Alligator mississippiensis: one gene and its partners. The protein of the gene in region 2 purifies or fractionates together with the protein of the main gene of each other region. This does not show direct contact. Links are inferred from orthologs where the notes say so. Each region holds a gene or a part of one and is shown on either strand. Other genes may lie near its edges. The genes, in order: AGO2, DDX6, G3BP2 and ATXN2.

Evidence for each region.
Region 1: the proteins of DDX6 (region 2) and AGO2 purify together in Homo sapiens (affinity purification with western blotting; 5 studies listed by BioGRID and IntAct, with this or other methods). This does not show direct contact. The link is inferred for Alligator mississippiensis from reciprocal best matches to the Homo sapiens genes DDX6 and AGO2.
Region 3: the proteins of DDX6 (region 2) and G3BP2 purify together in Homo sapiens (affinity purification with mass spectrometry; 3 studies listed by BioGRID and IntAct, with this or other methods). This does not show direct contact. The link is inferred for Alligator mississippiensis from reciprocal best matches to the Homo sapiens genes DDX6 and G3BP2.
Region 4: the proteins of DDX6 (region 2) and ATXN2 purify together in Homo sapiens (affinity purification with mass spectrometry; 6 studies listed by BioGRID and IntAct, counting the BioPlex papers as one, with this or other methods). This does not show direct contact. The link is inferred for Alligator mississippiensis from reciprocal best matches to the Homo sapiens genes DDX6 and ATXN2.

What each region holds. Positions count from the first base shown.
Region 1 is NC_081826.1:7,730,717-7,738,478, reverse strand, and holds the start of AGO2 (protein argonaute-2), read right to left. Parts: upstream 3,012-7,762; 5' UTR 2,915-3,011; coding exon 2,878-2,914; intron 1-2,877.
Region 2 is NC_081839.1:35,215,510-35,222,489, forward strand, and holds the start of DDX6 (probable ATP-dependent RNA helicase DDX6), read left to right. Parts: upstream 1-3,964; 5' UTR 3,965-4,072; intron 4,073-6,122; 5' UTR 6,123-6,380; coding exon 6,381-6,580; intron 6,581-6,980.
Region 3 is NC_081825.1:164,553,026-164,560,720, reverse strand, and holds the start of G3BP2 (ras GTPase-activating protein-binding protein 2), read right to left. Parts: upstream 3,018-7,695; 5' UTR 2,935-3,017; coding exon 2,917-2,934; intron 2,908-2,916; exon of another isoform or gene 2,712-2,907; intron 1-2,711.
Region 4 is NC_081833.1:3,641,572-3,648,565, forward strand, and holds the start of ATXN2 (ataxin-2), read right to left. Parts: upstream 3,018-6,994; 5' UTR 2,927-3,017; coding exon 2,748-2,926; intron 1-2,747. UniProt on the Homo sapiens protein: Involved in EGFR trafficking, acting as negative regulator of endocytic EGFR internalization at the plasma membrane.

The DNA of each region.
Region 1 (7,762 bases), on a different chromosome or scaffold from region 2:
CCCTTGTCACTGCAATCTTATCTAGCACCCAGTCATAGATTTTTCTGTGCAGGGAATTCTCACTGTTATTCAAGAAGGCTGCACTAAAGCATACATGAATATAACAGCAAGTCTGGCATACACAGGTCAGCTGAGTTTGCGCTATAGCAACTACTTCATACTTCGAGCTGTCCCTAAGGCTATACAGACTGTTGAAAAAATATAGTACAGGTGTTGACAATATTAACACATACACTACAGGAAAAAACAAGTTCGCAATATAAACTTTAAACAGTGCTGTATATTACTATAGTAACAAATTTAAAACTATCATAACACAAACTGAGACACAGAATAGCCATTATATCTGTCACTTCCTCATTTACACCTGGCACTACTGAAGTTCTCAATGCAATTTGTTCTTTAGATAAAGCAATGCAAATTCTGCAATGGATATGAAAAGACAAGACAGTTGACACTATTTAGGGGCAAGCTCAACAATCCTGACACTCTCAGAAGAAATAGTTTAATTCCAGGTCAGGCAAATCTGTCTATTAGAATTAGAAGATGAGAACCAGCATCATCATCCCATGCTAGTCCATCCAGGTAAAAGCTTTGACTCTCAAGTCAAAGACACCCATTTTCTCCATTCTCAATCACTTCGAATTCTAAACAAAAAAGGCCATCGGGTATCCATCTCTGCACCGTGAGGGGCCATGGACTGCTCCGGTGCACTCCTCAGCCAGTAAGTGCTGTGGTTGACTAGATGTCTCTCATACTATACGAAAAACGGACACCAAGAGCTCTCCTTGAAATAAAATGAAGCCTTGTTCTGGGGCTGCGGAGGCATGGGCAACATGCTGTTTTCAACTCTAAATATTTCAAGCTTGTCAACATTATGCATGTTTATCACTCCGTGCAAAGAAAACAGACTGCAGAGATATTCCAATATTTTGCTGTCATTCTTACTCCAAAAGATATCATTTCTCTGATCCGCTGTGCAGGACCAGTGGATCAAAGCAGCACCTTCTGAAGTAATAGCTGCAGCAAACAGCTTGTCTTTCATTCCTTAATCTACTACTGAGTGCAAACCGCAAACTGAATGATCTGGATTCTACGCCTCATCTGAATTAGGATATAAAACCAGATTCTGACCAGTCACACCAACACACTAAAAAACTTGAACTGTTGAAGACATTTACATGAGTTGAAAAGCAAACATGAGAACCCCTAAGGTATATCACCAAGCTGCAAATAGATTAAAATAATAGCAGAAAAAAGCAACCCTTTTAGGCATTATTATAGCTCTGTTACTAGCAAATGAACGGTAATAACTTAGTTTTTTATACTCCTAGAAACACAGTGACTCATAAGAGAGAACTTGGTAAAACTGATTTTTTCATATTTGGAAGTAATAAAAGCATAAAGTTCATCCATTCTTTTTTCTTCTGCAAGCAAAGCCTGTTATAAAAATCAGACTCTTCTCTTCAAACAGCGCATCACCAACAGGGAACAAGAGGCTCAGGTGAAAAGTAGAAAGCAAGAGGAAAAACAACCCATACATTGTGTAAGTTTTACAATTTGTTTTTAAGGGCTTTTTAGGAGGTATCAGGGCACCCTAAAAAGAGTAAAACTATCACTAAATTCAGGCATTAAACTAGCTACATGTTTTATTATTAATTAATCTAAAAGTATTCAGCGTTTTATTTAAAACTGCACTATAGTCCAATGGCTTCAGTCAGCAGATGTCTACAAATGTTTTATCTTTTTTGTGTCAAGGTAAATTTGTAAACCAGTATAGATAAAAACCATAGCCCACATACAATACTGGTGCAAGAAAAATGAGTACGAGATGACAAAGTAGTTTCAGACTTTGCCAAATAACTGTACTCTTATAAAGTTAAGAGCACATCACTGTGAAAAGACGACAGAAATTAAAGTCCCTCTTCACAACAAGCTTTTCCTTCTTTTTTTTTCCCCCCCAGAAGAGATTAGGAAAACATTGAGATGAACATTAAGACTGACTGACGCCTCTTGTTCACACTTCCTTAATTAAAGATTCTCTCTCTCTCAACCCAAGACTAAATTTTCACGTTTAGTATCAACCAAAACGTAGTCTCTCGTGAAATCAATGTATTTTTACGTTGCTCCGAGAAACCCAGACAACCCCGGTGAAGCGAGAGAGATGAACATGGCAGAAGGATAACGCCACGCCAATCTGAGCGGCACGGCCCGAGAGGCCAGACGAGCGACGGGGTTTGAGAAGTCAGGTAACGACACGGACGTCGATACGGCGGCTGCAACGTCTCACAGGTCGGACTGCGGCGAGCACACACTAACCAAGATGTGGCGACGCTGGCGTCCAGCATCGGGGTGGCACTGCCCGGCTCGCCGCCAGCCCAGCTCACAGGCATTTTTTCTTTTTTTTAATACGAGGCGTAGGAGCCGTGTCCCCGCCGCAGCGCGGGCAGACGCGCAGCAGCAACCTCTGCCCCGAGGGGCGCGCGCCTTGGACCCTGCGCCCGGGAAGGGAGGGCAGGAGGGCCTTGCCCCAGGAGGGACGCCCTCGCCCCCCCATCCTCCCTGCGCCCACCCCCAGCAGCGCAGGAGCCGGTGAGGGCGGCAGGGGGCGAAGCCGCCTCCAGCTGCGGCAGCGGGGAGGAGCCGAGCACCCCCCCCGCCCGGCCCGGGACCCCGCTCCGCCCCCACGGAGCGCGGGGGACCCGCCGGCTCGGCCCACGCCTCCCCCTGCTCCGCCAGGCCCGCAGGGGCCTCCCTCAGGCGGCGGCGGCGGCCTGCCCTGCCCTGCCCTGCCCCCACCCCCCTGTCTCCCTCCCTCACGCGCGCGGCCATTGCGGAGGCCCCGCCAGGCCCGGGCGGGCGGGCGGGCGGACTCACCCGGCCCGGCGGCGGCGGCGGCGGCTCCCGGGTACATGTCTCCGTGCGCGGCGCGGCGGGGCGCGGCGCCTCACTCTGTCCGGGTCAGCGGAGCCGAGCCGAGCCGAGCCGGGAGCCGGGAGCCGGGCGGGTCGGCGGGGCCGCGGAGGGGGAGGAGCCGCCTGGTCACGTGGAGGCCGCGGAGGGGGCGGGGCCGACGAGGGGAGGAGCCGCCTGGTCACGTGGAGCCCCGCCCCGCCCCGCCGGCGGGAAACGGCCCCTCAGTCCGGCGCGCAGGGGGCGGGTGGGAGCCACGTGGAGGGCGGGCGCGGGGCCCCGCCTTGTCACTGGCGGGGGGAGCGGGAAGGGGGGCGGCCCCCCCGGGCTGGAGCTCGCTGCCGTGGAGCCGCACACGGGGCACGTCGCTCCTCGCGGCCCGGCCTCTCCCGCCTCCACTTCCCGTCTCCGCTGCCTCAGGTCGTGCTGGCTCAGGCGAGCAGCCGGCGCCGCCTCCTCCAGGGGGTGTGCTGGGCCTGCCTCTGCTCCTTAACCCCCTCGCGGGGGCCGCCGGATCTGCGTGCCCGGGCTTGCGACCGCGCTGCGCCCACGGCCACGGCCCCTCCGCCTCGCCCCGCGCGCACCCCGCTCTCCGGGGCAGGGGCAGGGGCAGGGGCGCGGCCCGGGGCGTCTCTGCGGTACGTGCGGAAACGTGAAGGTGGCCTCTCGGTTACAAACGAGCAAAGGACAAAAGACTGGAGTAGTGCTGGCCCGGGCTGCTGCAGCAACTTCACTGCCGCAACAACACGTATGAAATGTACGTACACAACGATGCGTTTTATATATATATATATTATACATGTACACACACAACAAATATATATATCTATAGATATAGATATATAACAAATATTACACGCACATATACACACACACACACACAGAGCAACAAATATAAAATATATACATACAACACCCAATATCATAGACTCATAGATGTAGGGTTGGAAGAGACTTTGTAGACCTAGGCTGACCCCTTCCCTGGGCAGGAGAGAGAACTGGGCTCAAATGGCCCCAGCCGGGTAAACATCAAGCTTCCTCCTAAAGCCCCCCAGGGTAGGAGCCAGCACCGCTTCCCTTGGCAGTTGGTTCCAGATCCTAGCCGCCCTGACAGTGAACTAGCGTCTTCGGATGTCTAATCTGAATCTACTCTCTAGCAACTTATGGCCGTTATTCCTTGTTACTCTGGGAGGTGCTCAGGGGAACAAGGTCTCTCCAAAACCCCGCTGGTCCCCCCTGGTAAGTTTATAGATGGTCACCAGATCCCTCTCAGCCTTCTCTTGTGGAGGCTGAACAGGTTCAGGCCCCGTAGCCTCTCCTTGTAGGGCCTGCCCTGCTGCCCCCTGATCATGCGGGTGGCCTCCTCTGGACCCTCTCCATGCTGTCCACATCCCTCCTGAAGTGCGGCTCCCAGAACTGGACGCAGTACTCCAACTGGGACCTGACCAGTGTCGCGTAGAGGGGGAGGATCACCTCCTTGGACCTGCTCGAGATGCATCTGTGGATACACGACAAGGTACGGTTAGCCCTACTGACTGTTCTCGCATTGGCAGCCCATGTTCATCCTGGAATCAATAATGACTCCAAGATCTCTTCCTGCCACTGTGCTGGCAAGAAGGGAGTTCCCCAGCCTGTAGGTCTGCTGCTGGTTCCCACTGCCCAAGTGCAGCACCTTGCACTTGTCAGTATTGAGTCCCATCCTATTTTCATTTGCCCACCCCTGTAACCTGTCCAGGTCCTGCTGTAATCTGTCCTTCCCTTCTTCCCTTCTCACCCCAAATCTTGGTGTCGTCTGCGAATTTAAACAGGCTGCTCTTCACCCCCTCGTCCAAGTCACTAATAAAGATACTGAACAGTGCAGGCCCAAGGACGGAGCCCTGGGGGACCCCACTGCCTACTTCCCTCCAGGTCAAATATGACCCGTCCACCACCACTCTCAGAGTATGACCCCTCAGCCAATTTGCGACCCATCTGACTGTGTAGGCATCAATGCCACAGTCACCTAGCTGTTTAATGAGGATGGGATGGGAGAGTGTGTCAAAGGCCTTCCTGAAGTCCAGAAAGACTATGTCCACGGCGACACCTGCGTCCAATGATTTTGTGACCTGATCATAGAAGGCAACCAGGTTGGTCTGACAGAACCTGCCTCTAGTGAACCCATGCTGGTTCGCCTTGAACATCATCCCCACTGCTGGCCCATCACGGATGTGCTCCTGGATAATCTTCTCAAAAAGCTTCCCCAGGATTGAAGTAAGACTAACAGGCCTATAGTTGCCTGGGTCCTCCCTCTTCCTTTTTTTAAAGATGGGGACCACATTGGCCCTCTTCCAGTCATCCGGCACCTGGCCAGAGCACCACAAGTGCTCATAAAGCCGTGCCAGGGGCCCCGTGATAACCCCTGCCAATTCCCTCAGCACCCTGGGGTGGAGAGCATCTGGACCTGCTGATTTGAACACGTCCAGCCCCTCCAGAAGTTCCCTAACTTGGTCTTCCCTGACCCTAGGCCTGTCAGAGTCCCTCCTGAGTCCATCCTGAATCTCAGTAAGGGAGTCCCAGTCCCTGCACAAGAAAATAGAGGTGAAGAAATTGTTAAACAGGTCTGCTTTCTCCTCTGGTGCAACCACCAGATTGCCTAGTCCTGCAGCAGCCCCACATTACCCGGGGCCTTCTTCATTCTATGTATTTAAAAAAGGACTTTTCGTTGTCCTTGATCCTTGATGCTAGCCCTAGTTCCGTATTTGCCTTAGCTTTCTTAACAGCCCCCCTACAGAACCAAGCGGTGGAGGTATACTCCTCTTTGGTGATAGCCCCTCCCTTCCACTGGGTGTACGCCTCCTTTTTGGCAATCAGGCATTCACAAATGCCCTTGGTGAGCCAGGGGGGCTTTTGGGCACTCTTGCGCCCCTTGCTTCTTGTTAGGATTGTCACCCCTTGGGCTCTGAGTATCATCTCCTTAAGGAACGACCACTCATCTTGGGCACCCAATTCCCCTACTCTCCAGGACCCTAGTGCCTCCCTCACTAATCTCCTTAGCTCATTGAAGTTGGCCCTCTTGAAGTCAAGGCTACTGCCTTACTGCAGGCCCTTGACATCCTGCGCTGGATGGTGAATTCCAGCAAGCGATGATTGCTATCGCCCAGGTGGTCGAGGACCTGGAGTCCCCTCACCAGGTCATTGCCTGTGGCCAGAACCAGATCCAGGAGGGCATTCCCCCTGGTGGGACTGTGTACCTCCTGGGTTAAGTGGAGGTCCTGTATCTTGGCCAGGAACCTCCGTGAGCAGTCAGACCTGGCTGACTGCTCCTCCCAGCAGATGTCCGTGTAATTTAGATCACCCATGATGACTACATCCCTTGCCTTAAGTGCCTCCGCAAGCTGGCCCGAGAATTCATGGTCCAGCTCTTCCCCTTGGTTGGGAGGTGCATAGTAGACCCCCACCATTAAGTCCCTTTCCTCACAACCCCCCTGTATTCTGACCCAGAGCACTTCAGCCTGCCCCTCCTCGGACCCCATCCTGCTGGTAGAGGATGTGTATTGCTCTTCGACGTAGAGCACCACACCCCCGCCTTTCCTCCCCATTCTATCCCACCTGTATAGCCTATAGACCCTAATGTTGACTGCCCAGTCATGGGATGAATCCCACCAGGTTTCTGTGAGCCCCGCTATGTCCAGGTTTGAACTAGCTATCTGGAGGGCAAGTTCCTCCTGCTTAAGGACAAGGAGGAACCTGTCCTTCCCTTCTTCCCTTCTCACCCCAAATCTTGGTGTCATCTCCTTCAGCTTAGCCCCCAGGGCCTCGAAGTCCTTCATGATGCAGTCTGGGTTGCCTCTGTCCGCGTCATTTGTTCCCACGTGGATGAGAACCATGGGGTACTGGTCTGACGGTCGAATGTAGGCTGGGGTCCTCTCTCTGATGTCCTGAATCTGAGCTCCAGGCATGAAGCAGACCTCTCATGCCACGGGGTTGGGTCGGCAGATGGGACCATCCACTCCCCTTAGGATGGAGTCCCCAATGACGAGGACCTGGCGTTTCCTTCTCCTGATGTTCCCTCTCTGCACCATCTGTGTTGTGCGTGGAGTGGCATCGTCCCCACTGGAGGCATCCCCTTCGTCCTTCTCCCTCATGGCTGCCAGGGCCTTGTATCAAAATACAAAGGACAATAGTAACTCCTGTGGCCAGGCCCCCAAAATGTGTTTAACTATGAAGACCTGTTACTATTTTTGCTTATTACGGTCACTACTAAATTTGTGTTTTTCTATAGCTGGAACAGATCAAATAACTTCAGGGCTCCAGAACGCTACAAGGCCAAACAAGAGAGGACCTCTGACATGGAGCTGAAGAGCCAGGTGGCAAGAGGAAGAGGGAGAGGAAATCTCATCGGTGTGTGTCTGCGAGCACATGCACACCCACACTAAGTCAACCTGCTCTATTTATGTAGGTTGGAAGAAATTAGACAACTTTCTCCCATGGTACGTGTGCTGCTACACCTATTGACAGGCAGGCTTATTGAACTACTCTTATTAAACTACAGGAGAGGGTGGAAATACCTGTATGCTGCCCTGTCCTCAGTCATTGTTTCCCTTTGTTTATTGCTTGAGCAGATGAGGTGGTATGGTTTAGATCACTGCTCCAGGCATATAAAATTGAAGTGGGGTCATCACCTCACTTGCAACCATTTCAAACATTGAATTATTCATTACTTTTATTGCTGGTAAAAAAAAAAGATAGGTAATGTGACAATAATGCATGACATCAGACCCTCACGGACAGCATATCAACTAATGCAAATGAAAGTACATGAATACACCACATTGCACACTACAGATACTATTAACACAGACATCTCAAT
Region 2 (6,980 bases):
AGTCCCAAGACCGAGCGCATGCTGCTTGCTGGTCAGCAAAACATGCTCTGCAACCTGCGGGGGAGAGTTCAGGTCGGGTGAGCGATTTGCTGCTGCCAGAGTCCAGGCTCAGTCCAAACCTTCCTTCTGGAAGAGCATGGTGGGGATCTCGGCTGCTTGAACAGGAGCTTTGTCACCCTGGCCAGCTCCCTCTCTCTGGCCTCAGCAAAGGACAGCTATTTATTGAAAGAAAGATGGTATATAAGGTTGGGGCGAGGAGGGGAAGGACAAGGATGCTACCCAACTTTATGTTTAACTCAGCACTGGTATTTCCCCACAAGGTATGAGTTAAAAAGCAGCAAAGCCATTATAGGAGATCTAGTCCTGAAAAACAATGTTGGGTCAAGCAATAATAAATGTATTTGGTTGTATTTTAAATGCAAGAATAAACAAAAGTAGGTCTTTAAGATTAAGATACTCCATTTTTAAAGGGAAAACATTGAGAACTAAGATGAAATAAGACAGTGGTTTTCAACCTTTTTTCATTTGCGGACCCCTAAAAACATTTGAATGGAGGTGCACACTCCTTTGAATTGTAGGGGTGGGTATTCACGTACTTTTGACCATACTCATCTTTTGCAGACCCCCGGGGTTGAAAACCACTGAACAAAGAGAACGAATGAGTGGAATTAGATGGACTAAAGAGCTCAAGGACTTGAATGCAGAAGCGTGGAATTTCTTTACAAGGCAGGTGCAAAAAGTATGGACCTCTTATCCCAGTGGGGAGAAAACCTGGCTCCAGTCCAGCCTCCCAGAAGAGGTATTAGGCACCAAGAGAGAAGCTATAAAGAATGGAAAAAGGGCTGATTGACAAGAAAGCTGTGTCTTAGCTATCAGGAAATGTAAGGATAAAAATAAGAATTGCCAAAAGTCAAGCTGAGTTAGACCTTGCAAAGGAAAGAAATAAAACCACAAAGCAAAAAAAATTTCAGCAAGGAAAAAAATGGAGCTGAAGAAAAGCAAGAGTAGAGCTGCTATGTACAGAGGTTTAGGCAAGTTAAAGATAATCCAAAAATGACATGTACTTGTCTCAGTTTTCATTTAAGCATGTTGCTGTTAGAAATGTTGCTGTTAGTCTAATAGAAATGAAGACATGGAAAGGGAAACTGCCACATTACGGGTGGGAAAGAAAATCAAGGCGCTAAAAGTGCTCGAGTGATGGGGACTAATAATCTCCATCTCTGAATTCTGAAAGAACTAGCCCCTGACATCCCAGGTGTGTCAGCGAGGATGCTACCGAAAGACCTCTGTCAGCAAGGAAGTTAATGTCTCAAGTCTGGGATAGTACTGTGTGACTGGAGAACGACAGATTTAGTACCGGCATTTAGGAAGGGTGGGGGGCGGTGGGGGATAAGGGAAGGGAGGTATCAAGGTCTGACCTCCATAGGATGAAGCTTTCAAACAATGTTTGAGCAAAAGAATAGAAAACATAGATGTAAATGGAAAGTGAATACAATTGAACATAGGTTTGCCAGAGGTTGATTTTGGCAGGGGAGCCTAGTACTTTATTTTTTTGGTAACATAACCAAGGAAACCCAGGAGATCTAATCTATTTGGACCTTAGTAAAGTGTCCGATATGGTGTCACTTAGGAAACTCTTAGCTGAAGCAGAGGAAACAGGGATCTGTAGAAGGACTGTAAGGTAGATGAGGAACTGACTAAAGAGAAGACAACGGGTAGGTTTTGAAAGAGGAGGTCTGGGGCCGGAAGGCCGGTTACTAGTGGAGTTCTGTAAGGATAAGTCCTGGAATCAGTCCTATTTAAAATCCATTATGAGTGACTTCAGCAGAAAATAGTGAAAGTGTGCTAATGGATTTCACTGTCATCCCAAAGTTGCGAGGCAGCTTCAATACAAGTGAACAATATGGGTCAGATAGAAAGAAGTGGAGGAGCTTATGGACTGGAGCAATAGAAATGGGATGACATTTAATAGTAGAGTGCATGGTCATGCACTTAGAGACTAATAACAGGAATGTCTGCTAGAAGCAGGGGCTCATCAGTGGGAAAGGACAGCAGAGGAAAAAGATCTGGGTGTTTAGTTAATCATGGAATGACAGGCACCAATGTGAGACAGTTTGAAAAAGTCAGATGCTATCCTAGACTATCAGAGACCTGAGAAAGCGTACATTGGTACCTGGAAGCCTGTGTCCTTCCCAGCTAGACAGTTAGTTCAATAAAAGATATCACCCACAAAAATTCTTGCCTGGAGAATATATGAGACAAGATATTTGCAGTTGAGCTAGGGACGTACCAGTGTCATCATACAAGACGCACGCGAGACTTCCTTAGAATACCATGCACAATACTTGATCATCCGTTCACTGAAAGATTAATTAAAACTGCAATAGATGCGTAGAAGGGTCACAAGGATGGCCGTGAAACTGGGACTGAGGCCCTGCCAAGTGTGTGTCGGTAGGGGGGGTTCTCTCTGTCGGATACTTTGCTGGTACTATAAGTGGGACAGTGGGCTTGTGGTGTGCAAGACCCCAGGATAACAGGCTTTGTCCCATGGGAAAGCTGAAGCCTGAGTTTGTCTTATTGATCCTGGCACAACAAAAGCTGAGGGAATAGGATTTTGCCCTGTAAATAAGCTAGGGGGTAAACACGGGGAGGGAAAGCGATCTGAAACTCCAGGACAGCGTTGGCTCTGAAACAAACAGGCATGAACTGGCTGTGGATTATTCCAGTTTCTAACTGTTGCAGCACTGAGGTTCTGGAACAGCTTCCCGGTCAGGGCCGCAGGGCTGAAAAATACTGTTAAGGTGGGCACGATTGTTTCATGAAAGGGGTGTTGTGCCATTGCACCTGCAAGAGTAGGGACTGGACGCGTCCTGTCGGGGCTGCGCTCACGCACGTGTAATTCGGATTCTCCACGCTCCTCTTGAAGTGGGAGAGACTGAAACTCGGTGAGAGAACGTGACCTGCCTGGTCACACGGGGCCAGCCCTGCGCCTTCGCCTTCACCTTCTTCCGTCTTCTTTTTGTGCCCGAGTAGGGTGGCACATGGCACCGCAGACAGACCAGCCTCTCCCCAAGCAGGGGGGCCGGCGGCACCGCACCTTGGGAGGAGGGAAACGTTAGGGTGCGAGAGGGAGGGCGCGCAACTGCACGTCCCAAGGCAAGAAGGGCCGGCGGAGGCAGGGGCCGTGGCAGCCCCAGGCACGGGAGCCGCACGGGCCGACGCGGAGCGGAGCGGGTCTCCTGCCGCCGTTGAGCCCCCCGCTGGCAGGGCAGCGCGGCCGGGGCGGCTCCGGGAAGCGCCGGGCGCGGCCCCGCTCCCCACGCAGCCGGCGCCCGAGCGCGCGGCCGGGCCAGGCGCGTCCGCACCGCCCGGGACGGGGTTCCCGCTGCGCGGGCCTCGTGCGGGAAGCGGGCCCGGCCTGCGCCCCCGCCCGCCCGCGGGACGCACCGTGGGAACGGGCCGGGGAGCGGCAGCTGCACGTCCCCGGGGCCTTGGGAAGGCCCGGCCGGTTCCCCCGGGAGCTGCAGGCGCGTGGCGTGCGGAGCACCTGGGCGGGGGCAGCCCCGGGGCCTGTGCACCAAAACAAGAACTGAAAGCGGGAGCGAGACGCATGCAAAGCAGCGCCGGCCACGGCCGGGGGCAGCGGCCAGGCCCGCGCGCTGCCCTGCGCTCCCCGCGCGGCCCGGCCCGGGCCCTCGCTAGCGCCCGGGGACTCGGCGGCTCCCGCTGCCGGGGGGGCCAGGCCGACCCTGCCGGGCCGCGAGCGCCCCTAGCGGACACTGCGGGGCTCGGGCGAGGCGGGGCCGATGCACGTGGCAGCAGGCGGGCTCGCGGCGGCGTGACGTAGCGGCGGGGGCGTGTCGCCGCAGGCTGGCGTAGCGGGGCGGGGCCGGCGGCGTGACGTGACGCGACGTGACGCGCGGGGCGGGGCGGCGGCGCTGAGGGGCGGGGCGGCGGCGCCGGGAGGAAGGAGGAAGCCGCCATCTTGGAGCGTCGAGTCGCCATAACAAGGCACCGAGCGGCGGCGGCCGGAGGATTTTCTACCCGGGCGGGCGGGGCGCGGCCGGCGGCGGTGAGCGGGGCCGGGCGGGCGCGGCGGGCTGCGGCCTCCCCCGCGGGGGCCCGGGCCAGGCTGGGCCGCTCGGGCGCGGCGCTGCGCAAGGACCGGGGCCTGGGCCGGGCCCGGGTGGGGAAGGGGCGGGCGGGAGGCCCCGGCCCGTGTCCGGGCTGCCCGCGGGGACGGCGCCCGGCGGCGGCCCATTGTCTGCGGGCGCCCGGCGCTGCGCAGGCAGCTCCACGGGCGGCGCGGCCCGGCCCGGCCCGGCCCGGCCCGCCCCGCCGGGGGCGCCGAGGCCCGGCAGCGGGAGTGGAGCCGCCGCGCTCCTTTGTCTCCTCGGGATGCGGCGCGTGGGGAGGAGGACGCCGGGCCGGGCCGGGCCGGGCCGGGCCGGGGCTAGGGGAGAAGCGGCCGGGCAGCGCGTGGCGCCAGGGTGCGGCGGCTCGTGCCGCGGCGCGGCCTTTGTTCGCGTCCCTGGTCCGCCGGGCCCTGGTCTCGCGGGGGCGGGGGGCTGCGCGTCTCGCCGCGCTTCTCCCGTGACGGGGCGCGCAGGGCTGCCTGACCGCTCCGGCCCGGCCCGGCCCGGCCCACGCTGCTCCGCAGCTGCCTCCTGCATGGGCGCCCGGTCCCCGCGGGACTGCGCTTGTGTTTGCTTTGCACACGTGAAGTACCTGCAGCTGAAATGTGCAAGGAAGAAATTCTCGCCAGGGCTTAGTCCGCGTGTCTGGCAGAACCACAGTCACTTGCTTTAGTTCACTGCCCAGATCAGCTTTAGTCTGTGCTCTGGAAGACTAATTGGGGAAAATAGATATTTTTTTAAATTTGGAAAATTCGTTTGTGAAATGAGAGATGGCAGAAGATTCAGACAGAGATTTTGCCCTTTTAAGCATGGTTATATTTGAATCTTGTCGGTGGGTTTTTATCGCAGGAAGAAGGCACGTACCTGTCATAAACAGCGTGGGGCGCGCGTTGATCAACAGGTTCCTTCTGTTTACACTGGCTAACTAAAAAGTGCGGCAGTGCAGTGACACCGAACCTGTACAGCTACCCTTGCAGGTCTTGTTTTGAAAAGGTGGTAGCCCTTTAAACCCCTAACTTCATGCTGCAAATTGGGGTCCTTTCATCCCTGTTTATTTAATAAATTCATTTTTTTTCTACCTGCAGGGTGCAAATTGTGGGTGTGTGTTAAGCTACTGCGTTGACTAGCTTACTATCGTTACCTTCCCAATGCTATGCTCCTACGTTTTACATTTGTTTTCTATGTATCCTCTGAGGACACCATGTGTTTGTTCATTTACTGGCATTTTGAAGGTAACAGGAAACTAGTGATCTAAAACAAATGCATCTTATTTCTAATTTGAGGCAGGTACTAAGTTAACCATTAAAAATGTCTTCTAATTCTGAAGTAGAGTAGAGCCAGGAAGCTGGCATTGGATGGTTTGGTGTGAGCAAAGCAGTTTAAGCATGTCTAGTAGCTTATTTGTTTAAACCTAAGCCCTGACTTAACAGGTACCCGGGACATCTGTTTCAAATGATCAGTGCACTCTTCTCCCCCCATTAAGATATTAAATTAGTGATTCAAGCAATGGCGTGACTCCCCAGATCCTCCCAGAAGATAAATTTTGTGGTGGTGTTTTCCTGTCACAAATGATTATATGGTGTTAACCCTTTCTTTTGTTCTTCTTCAAAAGCAGCTTTATTGCAAGATGGGTAAAATAGTTGCATGACTTGAGCCTGTGTTGCAGGATGTCTGTCTGCAAAGCAGTTCACATGCAGTATCATGAAAGCAGTAGGATTGTTATTGTTCTTTTTGTTTTGTTTTTCTCTTTTTTTGTTAAGCAGAATTTCACTAGGTGCCAGTAGATGTTAGTTCTTTGTTCAGTTAGAAATAACAAGGGGAGCACTATTCATTGGTGGCACTTATTTTTCATTTGAAGTACTGTGTACTTGTTCTGGAAGTGCTGTCTCATACCAAAAGTGTGCAGTGTCCTGTCAAATATGGAAATGTGAGTTATTTACACCAAAAGATCTGTGTGTTAATTGTGTGTTTTTACTTCTTTTTCAGATTGAAGTGAGTGATTCAGATATAACTCAACTTTGTTAGAGGGCTTTTTTTAAAAAAGTTGATCCACAGTGCATCAGAGCAAGTTACTACTTACTGTTGAGTGACTTACAGGTGCTTGCCTGCATTGCAATAAAGGACTCATATATTGAGCAAGACTTATTTATCTCTTCGTTTTGGAGAGTCTTATAAACTGTTATTACAGTTTCTGTACTGACTTTCAAAGTTTTGAAGTCTAAAAAGACATCTTTAAAAACAAACATGAGCACGGCGAGAACAGAGAACCCTGTTATAATGGGTCTATCCAGTCAGAATGGGCAGCTGAGAGGCCCTGTAAAACCCAGTGGGGGCCCAGGAGGTGGGGGCACACAAACCCAGCAACAGATGAACCAGCTGAAAAATGCCAACACAATCAATAATGGCACTCAACAGCAAGCACAGAGTATGACCACCACTATTAAGTAAGTATTTACGTAAATGTATGTGGTGTTTTAAACAAGCTGCAGATATTGAGGAAAGTTGTTAGGTTTCTTGTGTTGAAGACTGTTTTTTTTATACTGCTATTAATTTATTATAATGTTGGCAATGTGAACTTTGATTTAAAAAAATGGCAGTATACTTTGTTTTCTAGGTTAGTGCTTTTCTCTGACAACTATCTTTTTAACTTACTGGAACCTCTTAATCATTTTATGTTTGGTTTTTTTTCCTTGAGAGCCTTGGCCTCAAGCAGCACCTTGTTTAAATACTAAGTGAGGCAGGGGGAAGATGGGTATCCATGCACTCCTAGGTCAAGGTACCATGCTGTTGCTGGCGGTTTCAAGGTGATGAAACTTAAAGCCATTTTGTTCTGATAGTTTTAGT
Region 3 (7,695 bases), on a different chromosome or scaffold from region 2:
ATGAACAAATAAAAATAGTGATCTAATCTAAGCACTCTACAATAGTTGTACATTTTAGACATTGCCAAAGGTACTAAGCCTTAGGTAATACCCCAAGTAAAACAAAGCATCCACCAATAAGCATATTACTGCAATACAGAGAAACATTTTGAAAGTGGCTCATAGAAGGTCAACTCAAAGTCAAAAACATAACATCTTGGGACAAAGACATTAAGAGGCTGATGAGCCTGAACACTTGGGCAAAAGGTGGCAACAGGAAGATCATGTCCTTTGTTTCTATGAAGAAAATACTGAGCACAATGATGGCGTTAAGGCAGGTTTTGTCAGCAAAACTCTTAAGAACAAAGAGGTTGAATTTACCTGAGAAAAAAAATGTAAGTGACAGCCTACTTAATAAGCTGCATACCTTTGTCAAGGATACATGATCCCAATATTGTTACCCAAGTTGCCCACTTTTCTTTTTTCAAGTGGCAATTTAAGTTTTAACTACCAGGACGCTAATTAGCTGAGGATCTGTTTACTCAGTAGTGTCCCCCTCTTCCATACCATGCAAAGGAAACAAACAAATGGGATCTTCATTTAAAGACAGAGCTGGAGAATACTGTACTAATAAGAGGCCTTCATTTTAGAACTTACTTCCACTGCTTGATCCAAATTAGCCTGAGGTTGGTCACCCTCCAAAGCAAGCTTGAAAGCACCTATCTTTACTTTAGCTGGTTGTTGCAGAGAGGAGCAGTTTGATAAATCTGCACATCTGTTGGACATGAGACCTTTAGTGGGAATCACTAAAGACACAAATTGACTAGGTCTCAAAGACACACATAAGCAGTCCCAACCTAAGTCAATGGGACTGCATATATTTTCATGTTTATGGAACTGGCAATTCCTTTCTTTTTTAATGGGATTCAGATATGATGCAGAGAGCACAAAAGTTTAACCACCTCCTAATCAAGGAACTGCATTTTAACTGTCACAAGACCTCATATAAAAGTACGTGATATTTCATAAATAACTGGAACTTCATCCGGGTACACACAAAGGTTTTATACCCGAGGACTGATAGAGGATAAATAAATCAATAGAAAATTCACTGAAGGAAAATATCAGGAAGCTGACAGCTTCTGAACTTGTACTGGGTTGCTAGGGAGAATCTGTATCCACCAATGTCAATACTACAGGACATTTGGAGTAATACACAGAGGACACCAATTTTAAGGCCTTACACAATACTGGAGTCAGAATTCCCAATCTCATTACAGTAGCTGCTCAGCAAAGCAGAGAGAGAGAGAATGGCAGCTCTCCTCCATAACAATCATCCTTACAATGATAAAGACCCTGGCAGAAAATTTTTGCCTACCCCCTAAGTTTTGCTGTTAGAAATAAAGGGCTTTTCTAGACTACAGTTAAAAAAGTGACTGCAATATAGCTAAAGATATACACTCAACCTAATTCAGATACTGATAACAGTCTGGCCAGAACAGCATGAATCTCAGCAAGTGCTGATTTACCCTGTAACAGAGCTCCATGCTGCTGAGGCTAGACATCTAATACCCAAGCTGGCTACATTAAAGCTAGCTAAGATCTTTCTAACTGCAGCCTAGACATAGCCACATATTATTGGCAGGGCTCAATGCATGTACCCTAAAAGAAAGGTTCAAACCCAGGTGGAAGACTGCACCACTCAGGTTTGCAGGGAAAGCCCTGCTGAAAAAAAATGAGCCTGTCAATGCAATGGAAAGACGATTCTGGAACTGCTCTTGGGCTGCACTCTCTGGACTCGGCTCATAAATTTCACTGTATCAGCCAATCTCTACCCACATCTTATCTGCATGCCAAATACTTTCTTAGTGATTCCATTCACTTTTTCTCCTCCATATCAACCAATGTGTTTCCTTTCTTGCAACATAATCCTTCCCTGAGATGTTTACACCTTCCTGTCCCCCCCCCCCCCCAAGCCCATCCCCTTTGTACTTCAGAGTCTTTATACAGCCACCACATTGAACACATTTTTGCCCTCAAGGCAGGAGCAGCAGTCCCCTGGAATTTCACTCTCCTCCCCAAGTCCTCCAGTTTGTCACTTGCCCGTTAGGAGCCGCTCAGAACCAAGCCCAAGATTTGAAGTGGGACTGAGAGCAAGAAGGAAAAAGACTAACCAGCTGCCAGCTTGGCCTGGGGCAAGGGGTGGGTCCTTGCCTAGCAGCCTGGAACCACAGGGGCCTCCTTCCTGCTCCGGGCAACTTAAGGGGAATAAAGCTATGCAAGGAGCTGAGCTGCCAGGAAGCTCCTCCAGACTGGGTGGGGGGCGGGGAACGGGACAGGGTCCTCCACCAAGGGCAGCTGGGCCTGCGGGTGGGCACAAGGCAGGCCCAGGCCGGGGAGTGGGTGGGGGGGCCTCAGCCCGGCCCAACGCCAACATCTCCTTCCCCGGCCCGGTTTAGGAGCGGGCGCCCATGGCACCGGGCTTGGGGCTGCTGCCGCCACTCCCGGGGCCGTGGGCGCCTGCGCCCAAACCGAAGAAGAAGGGAAGGGAGACCTGGAAGCCGCTGGGCGCGGGAACAAGGGCCGGTTAGACCCGGCCGCGAGGGACTGGGAACAAAAGCGGCGCGAGCCCCGCCCCGTCCGTTAGCCGGAAGTGCCCCCCCGCACGCTGGCATGTACACGCAGCCCGCCGGCTTCGCCGGGCGGCCCCGGCCCGGCGCGGCCGCGCTCACCTGGCGCAGGTCTCGGTGCGGGGCGGGCGTTCCCCGGAGCCGCCGGCGGGCGGGTCTGTGCCAGCGGGGCCGGGCCGGGCCGGGCCGGGCCGGGCCGCGGCGCGCGGGCAGAGCCGGGCGGCGACGTCAGCGGGGGGAGGGGCGCGGCGCGGGCTGCAGGCGGGCTGGCGTGTGGCCGCTCGGCGCGTCTCCCTTATTGTCTCACCCTTGTCTGCCAGGGCATGAGCCCCCGTCACCGCCTTTGCCCAATCCACGCCGCCCTCATTGTGACGTCGGCGGAGCGCTCACTTCCCGCCGAACCTCAACGGCGGCCACCGGCTTCCGCTCGCGTGACGTGAGACGCGGGTCGCGCGCGCGGGCCGCCTCGAGCCACGGCGGGGGGCGGGACCCTGCCGGCCAATAGGCCTTGGCGACTGCTTGTTGGACGGGGAAATAAGCCAACCAGCGACAGCGGGTGGCTAGAGCCCCCGGGTGCCCAGTAAAAAGTCTTCCCCCCCGCCCTGCGGGTTCTTCTCCGCGAGCGCGTTCGCGGGGCTGTGGCTGGTTTGGGGTCTCGCTCCGGAGACGCTCAGGCTCGTTTAGGAGCTACACCCTGCTCAGACAGTGGTTTACAACTACCCAACGGCGGCTGTTAGCTGAAATCGGGCATAAGCACCTTGGGGTTCAGACAGAGGTGCAGCTCCCAGCTGTAATTTGAGCCTGTTCTGCAAAGCGCTCAGTTACAGCGTTACCCCGACCAGACAGAAGTGCGCTGTTGTTGGTTCCAGGGGGAGAAGAATCTAGCTGGGGGAGTCGCAGCCAGGTTCCCATAGCAACAGCCAGGCTCTCTGCCCGTGCTTACTGGTTTCAGAATGGGAGGGGGGAAAGGCAGGGAAGGAGCTCCTTCCAGGGGCTCCCCAGGCCCCGCTGAATAGTGGGGTGGGTGAATTGGAGCCTCTGCGTAGCTGGGGTTTTAATATACCTGCCTGGCCTTGGGTGTGGGGGCTGAAAAAAACCCTGACTGATGCCTGCTCCCTTTCCCCCCTTCCCATTCTGAAAACAGCCACAGGCTAGGAGTTCAGCCAAGACAAGTTATAAAAGACACTACATTTTGAAACATTGTTAAAGGCAAAGCCTGCTGAATGCTGTTTCACTTAGTGCTAGAATGCTCATTTTAAATTGATACCTGATTTCACTTAGCGCTCAGCAAGTTTCGCTGTAATGCTCGCAGTCACCATCTTAGGTCATTAAAAACACTTGCAGTCACCACCTTGGATTCTCAAATACTTTAGGTTTCACTTAATGCTCCTTTTGCTTAACACTGGTTTTTTTGGGAAGTAATTAAGAGCACTAAGTGGGGTTTGCCTGTATTTGGTACCTCATGCAATGAGGGGTCAAATTTTCACCAGATGAACCAGCATGGGCACACTTTATGAGCGTATGCCGATGCCGATTGAGTGGGTGAAACCTGAGCTGGGAGACAAGAACAGCCTGGAGGAAAACCCCAGGGGAATTGGAAGTGACTTCCTGGGGCGGGAGAGAAAGAAGCGCAGGCACAGCATGCCCCAGCAGGGGCGATTGGTGGAAGCCCTATCAAATGCTGGCTTGGAGAAGCCAGAGAACTTTCTTGAAGTGCTGGCCTGGCAGACAAGACTAGACGACTGGATCTGGGATGACAAGGAGCCTAAAAGAGAAAGCATAAGAGAACATTAGAATCATGAGTAAATGGGGCACTGAGCCATAGTAACTGTTTTTTCAGCCCCTTTACTACCCCACGGAATGGGGACATCATGGACAAAGGCATAATATGCTTTACTGTTGCAGAAGGACTGCTCATTTATAGTTTTGTTTTGGGACACTCTGTTTTGTTTTGAGTTTTACAGCTAGAAACGCTTCAGAAGGCTGTTTGCCTCAACCTATTGGACAAGGAGCTTCAATGTTGGGTTAGCACTAGGTGAGGTGTAGGAGAGGCGCAGCCCCAAGGGATGGCAGCAGGTCTGGCTGAGGGCCAATGTTAAAGGGTACGAGACCACCCTCCCTTACTAGAATTTGAAATATCAAGTCGGGGCAGAAGAGAACGTTCAGTACCCTTGTAGGCTAGAAATGGCACGCCAAGCTGTCCTCCCAAAAGGGTGCCAAAACAGCCAGTCGTGTTGAGAAGCATAAACGTCCAGCCAAAGAACACGGTAAATTACACACACTCTTTTTAGTTTGAAGGCACCTGAATCCTTCTTTGATAAAGATTAGTACCATGATGTTGGAATCCATCCAAAAGCAAACTAGAAGAGCATGGGCAACTGGTGCCGCCTAAGTCAGGGGTGGCACATGCCCCTCCAGCGACCAGTCAGCAACTGGGGGGAGGGGGTCCCCCATGGCCAATCCTGCCAGCCAGAGGGGCAGGGGGGATCCCCCTGTGGCCCATCACAAGACAGCTGATCGCTGCAGCTGCTTGTGGAAGTGGCTGTGGCCGCTTCCGGGAGTGGTTGCAGCTGCTTCCGGGAGCGCAGTGGCACTCTGATCCCCAGCCAGCGCTTGCAGGGGGGCTGCCAGAACTCCCTGCCCGTTGCCTAAGCAGCGAGTTTTAGCACAGAAAAATCTAGGATTCCGAACTAGCCCAAACTAGGGATTGACACGACACCACGTTTGATGAGTGACAGAAAGGCTTTATTTACTACAAGTATTTAAAATCAAGTCAAGTGAGCCCAAACCAAATCAGAGTCCCATAATTAGCTATAACGTGATGATTTCTCGCCAAACGTGCGAGAAGGAGGCAGTCTGTTTCTCTACAACTTCTCAAGCAAGTAGATTTCTCACTCTCGGAGCGCACGTGCTGTTTGCTGTTTTACTGCCTTTTTATACCCTTAGTTTAGCATCTTCAAAGTATTCTTTTAGTCGTGTAAATCAAGAGAGAGTCCCAAGCAGTAATTGACAGGAAAAACCTGCTTATTACTGGTTATCAGAAATTTCTAATCTGAATGAATTACCTTCTTCAGTTACAAGAGGTTATCCAGTTTGGAACATATCAAGAAACTGATTAACAGCCAGGAAAAACATACTAAATCAGGAGGAGACATCTATCACATATGGAGAATGTCTCTTCCTGCACATAAACACGAGTTAGTTGCAAAAGAAATATTTACCATACTAATTAATCAAGGATAGACATTTCATATAGTTACACACCAGACAACTAAGTCTGCCTGAAATCATCCTGAATATAGGAAGATAAGCTGGAAGAGATACTTCATTATTCCTTCTCAGCTGGCCTAGCCATGAACTCACATCCTCCTGCAATATGCAGTTAGCATTATTATTCTGTATTTTAACTTTTGTGAGTAGGCCCAAGTTTAGCATGAGTTTTAGAGTCATCAGCGAGTGTGGCCGGTCAGGGGGTGCACCGGCACTCTCAGGGGGTGCCCGTGCACCCCCATGCACCCCTATGCATTGCCACTGTAGAAGAGCATAATGTCTTCCTATCAGCCTTTCTTTTTCGAAAGGCAGGTATGAGGTTTGAAGTTTCTCTATGGTTTCCATGGTCACCTCAGGTAAAGTGTGTCAGCGTGATCTAACCTGATGACCTACACTGTATGAAGGCGTTCAGTCAGGGCTACAGAAAGACAACATCATTGAAATGCCACCCTGAGAGGTAAGCTCAATAAAAATTCTGTCCCCATCTGATAGGAGCTACAATACTTTGCCGCAACTGGTTTGTCTTGAGGCTTTTTTATTGTTTCCATGTCTGATGCAAGAGAAGCATTTAACTGTTAGTCTGAAGTCAGGTAGAAGGTTGCCTTAGAGAGTAACTGGTTCAGGGAGGCATGAGCTTTCATGTGCAACAACCTGTTTGGTCAGAAGCTATACAAGAGCTATACAAGAGCTATACAGAAGCTATACAAGAGAATAAATCTAAGTGTCCTTTCATAGCATCTGATGAAGTAGGCTCTTGGGTATGAAACCTCATACCTCTCTGAACCTGTTAGACTCCACCCATATTTTACACAAGAAATGATTTTCTCCTACATTTCAATCTGTTTGTTTGCCTTCCTTACCCCTTTCTCTGGCATTTAGTTGTCTTTTATTTTTATGCTGCTCTGCCCCATTCCCACCTCTATGTGTCACAGCTAGTCAGTTCACTGTGGCAGAGAATCCAAGAAACACAGATAACAGCATAAGCAACTGCTGTTTTTTCAGATGAAATGAACCATGTAAAACTGAAGCGGACAACTGCCATTTCGAAACAGATCTATCAAAACCAAGAAGTTGGAGCTGGCTTAAAGTCAGAAGGGCTGAAAGGGGCTGTTTCATCCGCACCTCACTCCAGGCTTTGAGAAAACATACAGAGACACATTTCTTGACAAGCTTTCCGATGGCTGTCAGGGGAAGAAGCAAGAGCACAGATGGTCAGTGTTTATTGGGGTAACTTCACTTAAAAATCATAACAAAAATGTATGGAAAAGCCAACACTTCATTTGGAGGCAACTGCAAAAATGAGGACAGACATTAAGTACCACGCTTATGTAGCCTGATGTGGCAGAGCAGCTTTGGTGCCTGCCACTTTAAGGGCTTGCACAGTCTGTGAGAAGGCCTGTAGGTGTGAGCAGACACAACCAGGCAGTCACATGACAGCCAGGAGGCTGCCTGATTGGAGTAGGGTGGAGCAGCCTCAGTATAAGAGGAGCAGGGCTAGCAGTTGCTGCAGGGGTGTTGTTGGGGTAACATTGCCCAGCTTGAGATCTGCTGCTCCCAGAACACTTGGAGGAGAAGAGTAGGAACTATGGGGATGGAGGAGGTTCCTGGTCCTGGGCCATGACCTGAAACTACACCTTGCTGGGGTTGGATGGTGAGTATGGGGTGCGGGAAAGCCTCAGCCCCCACTGCCGTGCAGTTACCCTGTGGAGGTGAAAGGTAGGGGAGCATACCCTGAGAGAAAGGCACAGGGCCCAGGCTCATTAAGTGGGGCTTGCCAGGCATGTTGACAGACACCTGAGGCCTGAGTGGGCCACTG
Region 4 (6,994 bases), on a different chromosome or scaffold from region 2:
CAGAAACTGCAAACCAGTTTCTTTTGTTTGATAAATACCTTAGACAACTGTACTTTTTCAGGTTCTCAGTTGGGGCCTGCATCCACTCAGAGCCTCTGTGAAAGCCTACCTACATCATTTCAATTCAGTATTTTACAAAATGAGACTGCCTTCATAAAAATACACACATATTGCAGGTGCAAAATTAAAGCCTCCCCCCTCAAAAAGAGGGAGAGGCTTTTCATTAGACTTTCTACAAATACATTAATAATGTCAAGAGCTAGTCCTCTTTTAGCACCCCTTCCATGTATATGGAGAAGAGAGAACACCAGGTCAGATTTACAGTACACATTCTCTGACAGCTGCTATAACAGGCATCGACGCGCCTTCCTCATAATTACTACAGGTCAGGGGCTCATGCTGTTGATTAAAAAGCTTACGAGAAAGTATGCAAGCAACACCATACTAATCACTATCTATGAGCATTAGTCGCTATTTAAAATGACCTACAAGTTACCCATTTATTTGTCCGATAATTTAACATTGTTACTTTAATTTAATTTGGGGCTACTCAGAAAATTCTGTGCCATTTCATATTTGTGGTTTATTACTAACTTGGGCCTCCGAGACCCTGTATCCCTGCTAACTCTTTTACATGTGCAATTCTCTTCTTCTCAGAGGAATGCACCATACTTTAAAAATCGAGTTAAACCTTGAAGCAGCCTTGAGAAGTGGAAGCACGGAAATAATTCGGGTCTTAGAGATCGGGAAGAAGTGAGGCAGAGAAAGGGTGACATTGGGAAAGGTACTAAAATCAGGGGTAGGACAAAATTCACTAAACAGGTCCTCTGAGCAAAGGCCTTCTTACCCTTCCCTAAAGGGGCTGGGGGCTGTACTTGAAGATCTTCCAAGGTCCCTTCCAGCCCTAATGTCTATGAAATCTATGGAAGTGGAGACTGGCCAGCCACCTCGCTGGGGTCACTTGACCCCAGTGGTCTTCCTGCCTAGAGCAGGGGCTGGACCCGATGATCTGCGAGGTCCCTTCCAGCCCCTGACAGCTGTGAAACTATGAGAAGTAGCTACTGATGCAATGTGCAGCATATGGGGGGTTTCAAATGAAAACAGAAGTATGAATAGTTCCCTTGATGTCTTGTGAAGTAGTTACTGTAACAAAGGTGGAGTCTAGTGGTCACTGGAAGTTGCTTCCCACACACGCTTGTGCACATTGGCTCATCGGGATAAAGGGATGGTTTAGCTTTCTGATTTTCTCCGCAAGTGGGTTTCATTTCTAAAGCGGCCATCTCCTCCGCAGGACCTGGGAGAGGTCATGCCCAATACTCCTGACCAGCTGCATCCAGGTGGGACAGCCATCTTCCATCTTGCTCTCCTTTTACAGGAGACTGGAGAAAAGCAAGATCGACTACCCAGTTTTCGCCGCGGAAAGGGCAAATGCAGAGACTCTGCCTGAACCGCGAGAAGCAAGCTGGAAAACCCCGAATTCACTGGGACCCGGTGATCTTGTAAGGCCTCTTCCAGCCCCAACGTCTGTGAAATCTAACATCTGTGAATATGTTTCAGCTTCTCTCTCTTTATTGGTGAGAACTATTATTATTATTTTATTCATTTATTTTTACAAGTACTTTCACCGCGTTTCCTTTTTAATAAAGACTACTGGGCCCAGTTACACAGACAGTCCAGAAACAGGGGGTCGGACTGATGATCTGTTTCGGTTCCTCCCGACCCCAAGTACTACGACAGCAAAAAAAGATTAAAAATGGGGAGTTTGCGCCACGCCAGCGGCTCTACTTGTAGGCACCTCAAAACAGGTCCCAGCTGGAGGGGGAACGTGTCAACAAACGCCAAAAAAACCCGCTGGGAGAAACGCGGAGAAATAACCACGCGTCCCTTCGCACGGTGCCTGTTCGCGGGTCACCCGTCCTGCCTACACGTCGATAAAACCGCGCCGGGTACGAAGATCTGCTGAAGATATGAGGAGGACGCGGACTAGCCGCCCGCCGCCGGTCACGTTTGGCCACGGGGGCCGCGCGCTTGTTCCTCGCGCCGCTTACATCGCAGGGAAGAGACCGGCACCACGTCCCGCGGGCGCGCGCCCCGAAACACGGCGAAGCGTTTCGAACGCCGCCCTGCTCGTCGAGGAGGGACCATCTGCTCCTCACGCACCTGGGTTGTGTCTGGTGTCAAGGAGGGACCATCTACTTCTCATGCACCTGGATTTTGCCCCTTTTTAAAAGGGAACCATCTAATAAATAGGTCCAGGCGGGAACGCCCCCAACCCAACCCAACCCAACCCCACGAGATACTCGCACCGAATCGCCGCAGAAACGTCAGGAGCCGGCCGGCCGGCCGGCTAGCACGGATGGAGGGGCCGTGCCCGCCCCTAAGTGAAAGGAGCAGGTGCCCGTCCTCCGCGGCGGCGGCGGGGCCGCAACCCCAGCACCGGGGCCGGGCTGCGGCGCGGGGTGGGAGACGACGCCTGCCCCCGCTGCGGGAGCCCCCGCGGCTATGGGGGGGATAAGCCGGCAGAGGAGCGGCGGGGAGACGCCGCGCTGCCCGGCCCGTCCTTCAGCTTCACCTCGGCGCGGGGCGCGGGGGGAGGCCGCGCGGCCTAGGCCGGGCCCGAGGCGCCCCGCTCGCAACATGGCCCCGGCGGAGGCAGAGGCAGAGGCGAGGCAGGCCCGGCCCGGCCCGGCCCGGCCCGGCCCTGCCCGGGAAAATGGCCTCTCGCCGCCGCGCTGCAGCGCACCCACCTGCCCGCGCTCTGCCGCCCGCCGCCTGGTGTCGCCGCCGCCGGCAGGCCGGAGCCGGAGCCGGAGCCGGAGCCGGGGCCGCCGCTTCCACCGCCGCCGCTGCCGCCGCCGGGGGGTTTGCGGGCACCGCCGGGGGCCTGCGCCGCCGCCTGCTGCTGCTGCTGCTGCTTGAGGGACATGGCCGCGCCGCTCCTGCCGCCGCCTCGGCCGCTCGCTGCCACAGCGCGACTCGGAGCCGGAGCCGGGGCCAGGCGGGCGGGCTCGCGGGCGGGCGGGCGGCGGGCGGCGCGGGGCGGAGGGATCCGCGGGGGAGGGGACGCGGCACGCTGCGGCCGCCCGCCTGGCCCGGCCCCGCCTCGCCTCGCCTCGCCGAGCGCAGCCCCGCCCGCGCCCGGCCCGGCTCCACGGAGCGAGCGAGCGAGCGAGCGAGGGGCTCGCGGGGCAGGCAGCGCGCCCGCCCGGGGGAGAGGCAGGCGGGCGGGGGGCGCCGGCCGGACTCTTTGGGGCGAGTCGGAAGGGTCCGGGCGGTGAGGCGGCCGCGTGAGGCGCGGGGAGGAGCCGGGGGCTCCCGCGAGGCTTGGCCCGGCCCGGCTGCCCGCCCGCCCGCGGGGGAGCCGCTGGGCCCGGCTAGGCCGCACGCCGCCCCCGGCGCCGCGCCCCTCAGGCACAGGCCTCCCCCACATGCGCGCCAGGCTCCGCGCACGCACGGGCCCGGACGCGGCCCACGAGGCTCCCCGCGGCCCACCCACCCGTGAAGCACGAAGCACGGGGCCCGGCTTCCCCCTCGGGGCCGGGGCCGGGGCGCGAGTCACTCACAAACACCTCGGACATCAGCGCGCGTCTCTGCCCCGTCGTCTGGGGCAAAAGTTGCCCCTTTTGCCACCGGAGAGCGGCCTCCATCACTCGCCCGCCTCGCCTCGCCTCGCCTCGCAGCCCTTGGCGGGGACGGGCGCGGGCTTGTCCCGGTTCTGGTGTCGGACACCGGCTGCGGCGCTCGGTCACCAAATACCTCCGGTTCCAGCTGAAAGCCAAACCGGCTCAGCGGGGATTATCGTCCTGGATCGCCAGCTTTCAGGGCTCACGTTCCCCAGGGCTATTATTTTTAAGCAGTGTTTAATCTTGCTGTAGAGCCTGACAGGCCAATTCACCTCAAAACAAACATCATCATCATCGTCGTCAGCATCCTCGCTACGTCCGATGATAAGCCTGGCGTTTTTAACTCGTGGTCTCAGGCTGGATGCATTGGTGGCACTGGTTGCACTGACTTTGGTTACTAGTTCTCTCCGAGCGCGGCTAATTCATACGTACGAGAAAAAAAATTGGGGCTGTCCCGCTTAAATAATTTTTAAGGAGTCAGCGTCCGTAATTAGCGTGAGCTCGTGTAGTTGCCGGACTGCCGCCGAGTGGACGGATAGCCAAACCCGCGAGAAGTCCGGCGGCGTTCGTCGAGACTCGTGATCCCCCAGGATTCGAGTCTAATAAAGAGGAATTATGCCACGAGGCAGGCATTATTTATACACCTTGCTCGCAAAGCGGTTGCTTTCCCGTAGGGTTAGGGGAGCTGTGGGTGGTAGCACGCAAGGAACACGCCAACATTTAATAGCTTCTTAAAATTAGCTTCTCCCCCCCCCCCCACCTCGTACATTTGGCTCCTAAGTTTCTTGCTTTGTTTTACCTTGCAGGCCTGAATAATGATGTGGTGACACATTACTGGCTGGAGGACAGGAAATGCCAGCCGAAATGGACACCGGAGCAGGAATTCTTTAATTGGAAACGCTCGCAGCGTGCGGAGCCAACGTTTCAAGAAACTCCACTTGAATTCTCCCCTTTAGTCCATTTTATGCCCAGCTAGTCATTTCTTGGCCACAAAAATCGAAAGCCAGGGACAGCATTCGTGCAGCTTGGAAGGAGATAAAGTTACCGCTGACAAAGGTTTTTTAGCAACGTTTACCACAAAATTAAACAATTCTGTGGAAGAACTCGGTCCGTCTGCACCCACTACGCTACGTACAGCCACCCGCTGCCTGCTATTAGAAAGCCTCTTGAACGTTAGTCGAACCATGCACTTTTAAATAAAGAAACAAGTAGGCCTACAGCTGGCTAAACTCTTCAGGACGCTGCCGGAAGGCAGCACTGCACCTAGGCTCCTGGCAGCCCCGGGCAGACTTTTAGTATCAGGCCCCCCCCTTTGCCAGAGATGATATTATAATAATAATAATTTTTAAATTACCATTTTTGGATCCCCTTTCTGTCCAGCCCCCGGTTTACCCATTCCTGTGTCCAGCCCTGCCTTACGTACAGGACTGTAGCGTTAAGGCCTCATCTCGCTACAATACAAATTGCAGTCGAGGGACTTTTAGGTTCCTGACCAGGCATGTTCTGGACCTTTCCAGTTAGCTGGAGCTAGAAAAGACTGTCCAATTTGTGTGTATACTGGTGTCATTTTAAAGTCGAGGCACGCGAGATAAATAAAGGGTCAGATGCACTTGGATGGAATCTGGCACACGAGGATTATCCAATACTAGCCATTTTACCTCATGTTTTTGCATGCTAGATTATTCTAACCACATACAATTTCAGGTTACTGTATAAATCCTGATAGATTTCCTGCCAGGAGATCCAATCTGAGCACCCCAACATGGGGATACATTTTATTTAACAGCTTTGGGGCAGCGTTCAATAGTTGAGCTGCAGTTTTGCAAATAAACATGAAGTCTCTTGTCAGCACTTCATTAAGTGCTGCGTGATTGCGGTTGGACTGGTTTTCCCTTTCAGCGTGGTTCTTTGCACTGCTGCGCCCTGTGTTTGCTTTCCATTGTCTATTACCCTTGCTTCTCTGCCCTACTGTACTGTGCATGGAGACCAAGTAAAAATAAAAATACATGTATATTAAAAGACACATATATACAAAATATACCAATAGATTAAAAAAGGAAATAAGTGACTGCCATCAACAAAGCCATTAAAATTAACTTACCCTCAGTGACAACATCCACAAGGGGGTTTATGAAGACAAGCGAATCCTCCTTCCATGTGAAGTCTACCAAAATCCCGTAGCGAGTGCCTTTAAGAGGGTCAGTGGTCCTGTTGCGACCCCACTCCAAGGCTTTTGATGGGAAAACCTTGCTGGAGTCCTACATCTTCACTGCAGATAATTTCTATCACTTGGTATATTGGTCATGTTCTCTGCATCCCTCTTGCCTAGAAGGTTAGCTTCCCCTACCTCCATGCAGGGCTTCAAATTGATGGTAGCTCATCTCCTCCCCAATATACTTTAATTCTGATCACACTTCAGCTTGTAGCAAGAGCACTAAATCAACAGAAACCTTTCCCATTTTGGCGATTCCTCCTGGTTTGATCACAACTGAGCTTTTCCCCAAAAAAATGCTGACTCAAGAATGGAGAGGAGATGGCCAGTGAGCTCAGTCCAAAAAAAAAAAAAAAAAAAGCCTCCATAAACTCTAATGGCTGAATTCAGACCTGGACAGAGTTAGTGCCAGTGCTTGAAGACTGGTGATGCTTCAGAGTCAGCAAAATGGATCACCTGGGAGGTCTCCAAATGCAGTTTGAGAACCTGGAGTTTTGGAGCAGGCTACAAGTTTCATTTATTTTGATTTTCTTTTCTCCATGCATGCATATTATATATCTGCGCATTGGAGGAAAAAAAAAAAAGAAAAAAAATATATATATATATTTCTCCCCATTATAATCCTTGTACCGCTGGAAAAGTGTTCCCTTGCTGCTAGGCTGACTCGCTTGATAGCTATTGGATTTGCTTTTGTGCTATGCACTACTGAAATCTTTCTGATTAGTCAAGACGCTGGTCTCTAGGTGGCTTTAAAAACCTCTGTACGGCAGCGTCTTTAAGTACCCAAGGATACTTTAAGTCAGCTACAACACATCTACCAGGTACCGTAGCAATCTAGCTGTGGGGAGAGGAGTTCAAGACTATGCTAGTCTTATTCTGCCAAGTTAAGCAGCTGTTGAAGAACACAATGATTTATCCTCAAGAGCAAATCATGCATTCGCAGGCCCTGATATTCGAGTCCTAGGTTAGACCATTCTTTTTAAAGCTACTTTAAAATCAGTTTTCATTCAGAATTGATGACTATCAACAAGAAATTACAGGGGCATGAGCAGCTCTAACATATATGATCATGATCAGATACATTTTCAAGAGATGAACAATTTTGGGTATCATTGTCTTGCTCAGGATTTTAAGGATAGTTCTCAGTGACAAGGCGACT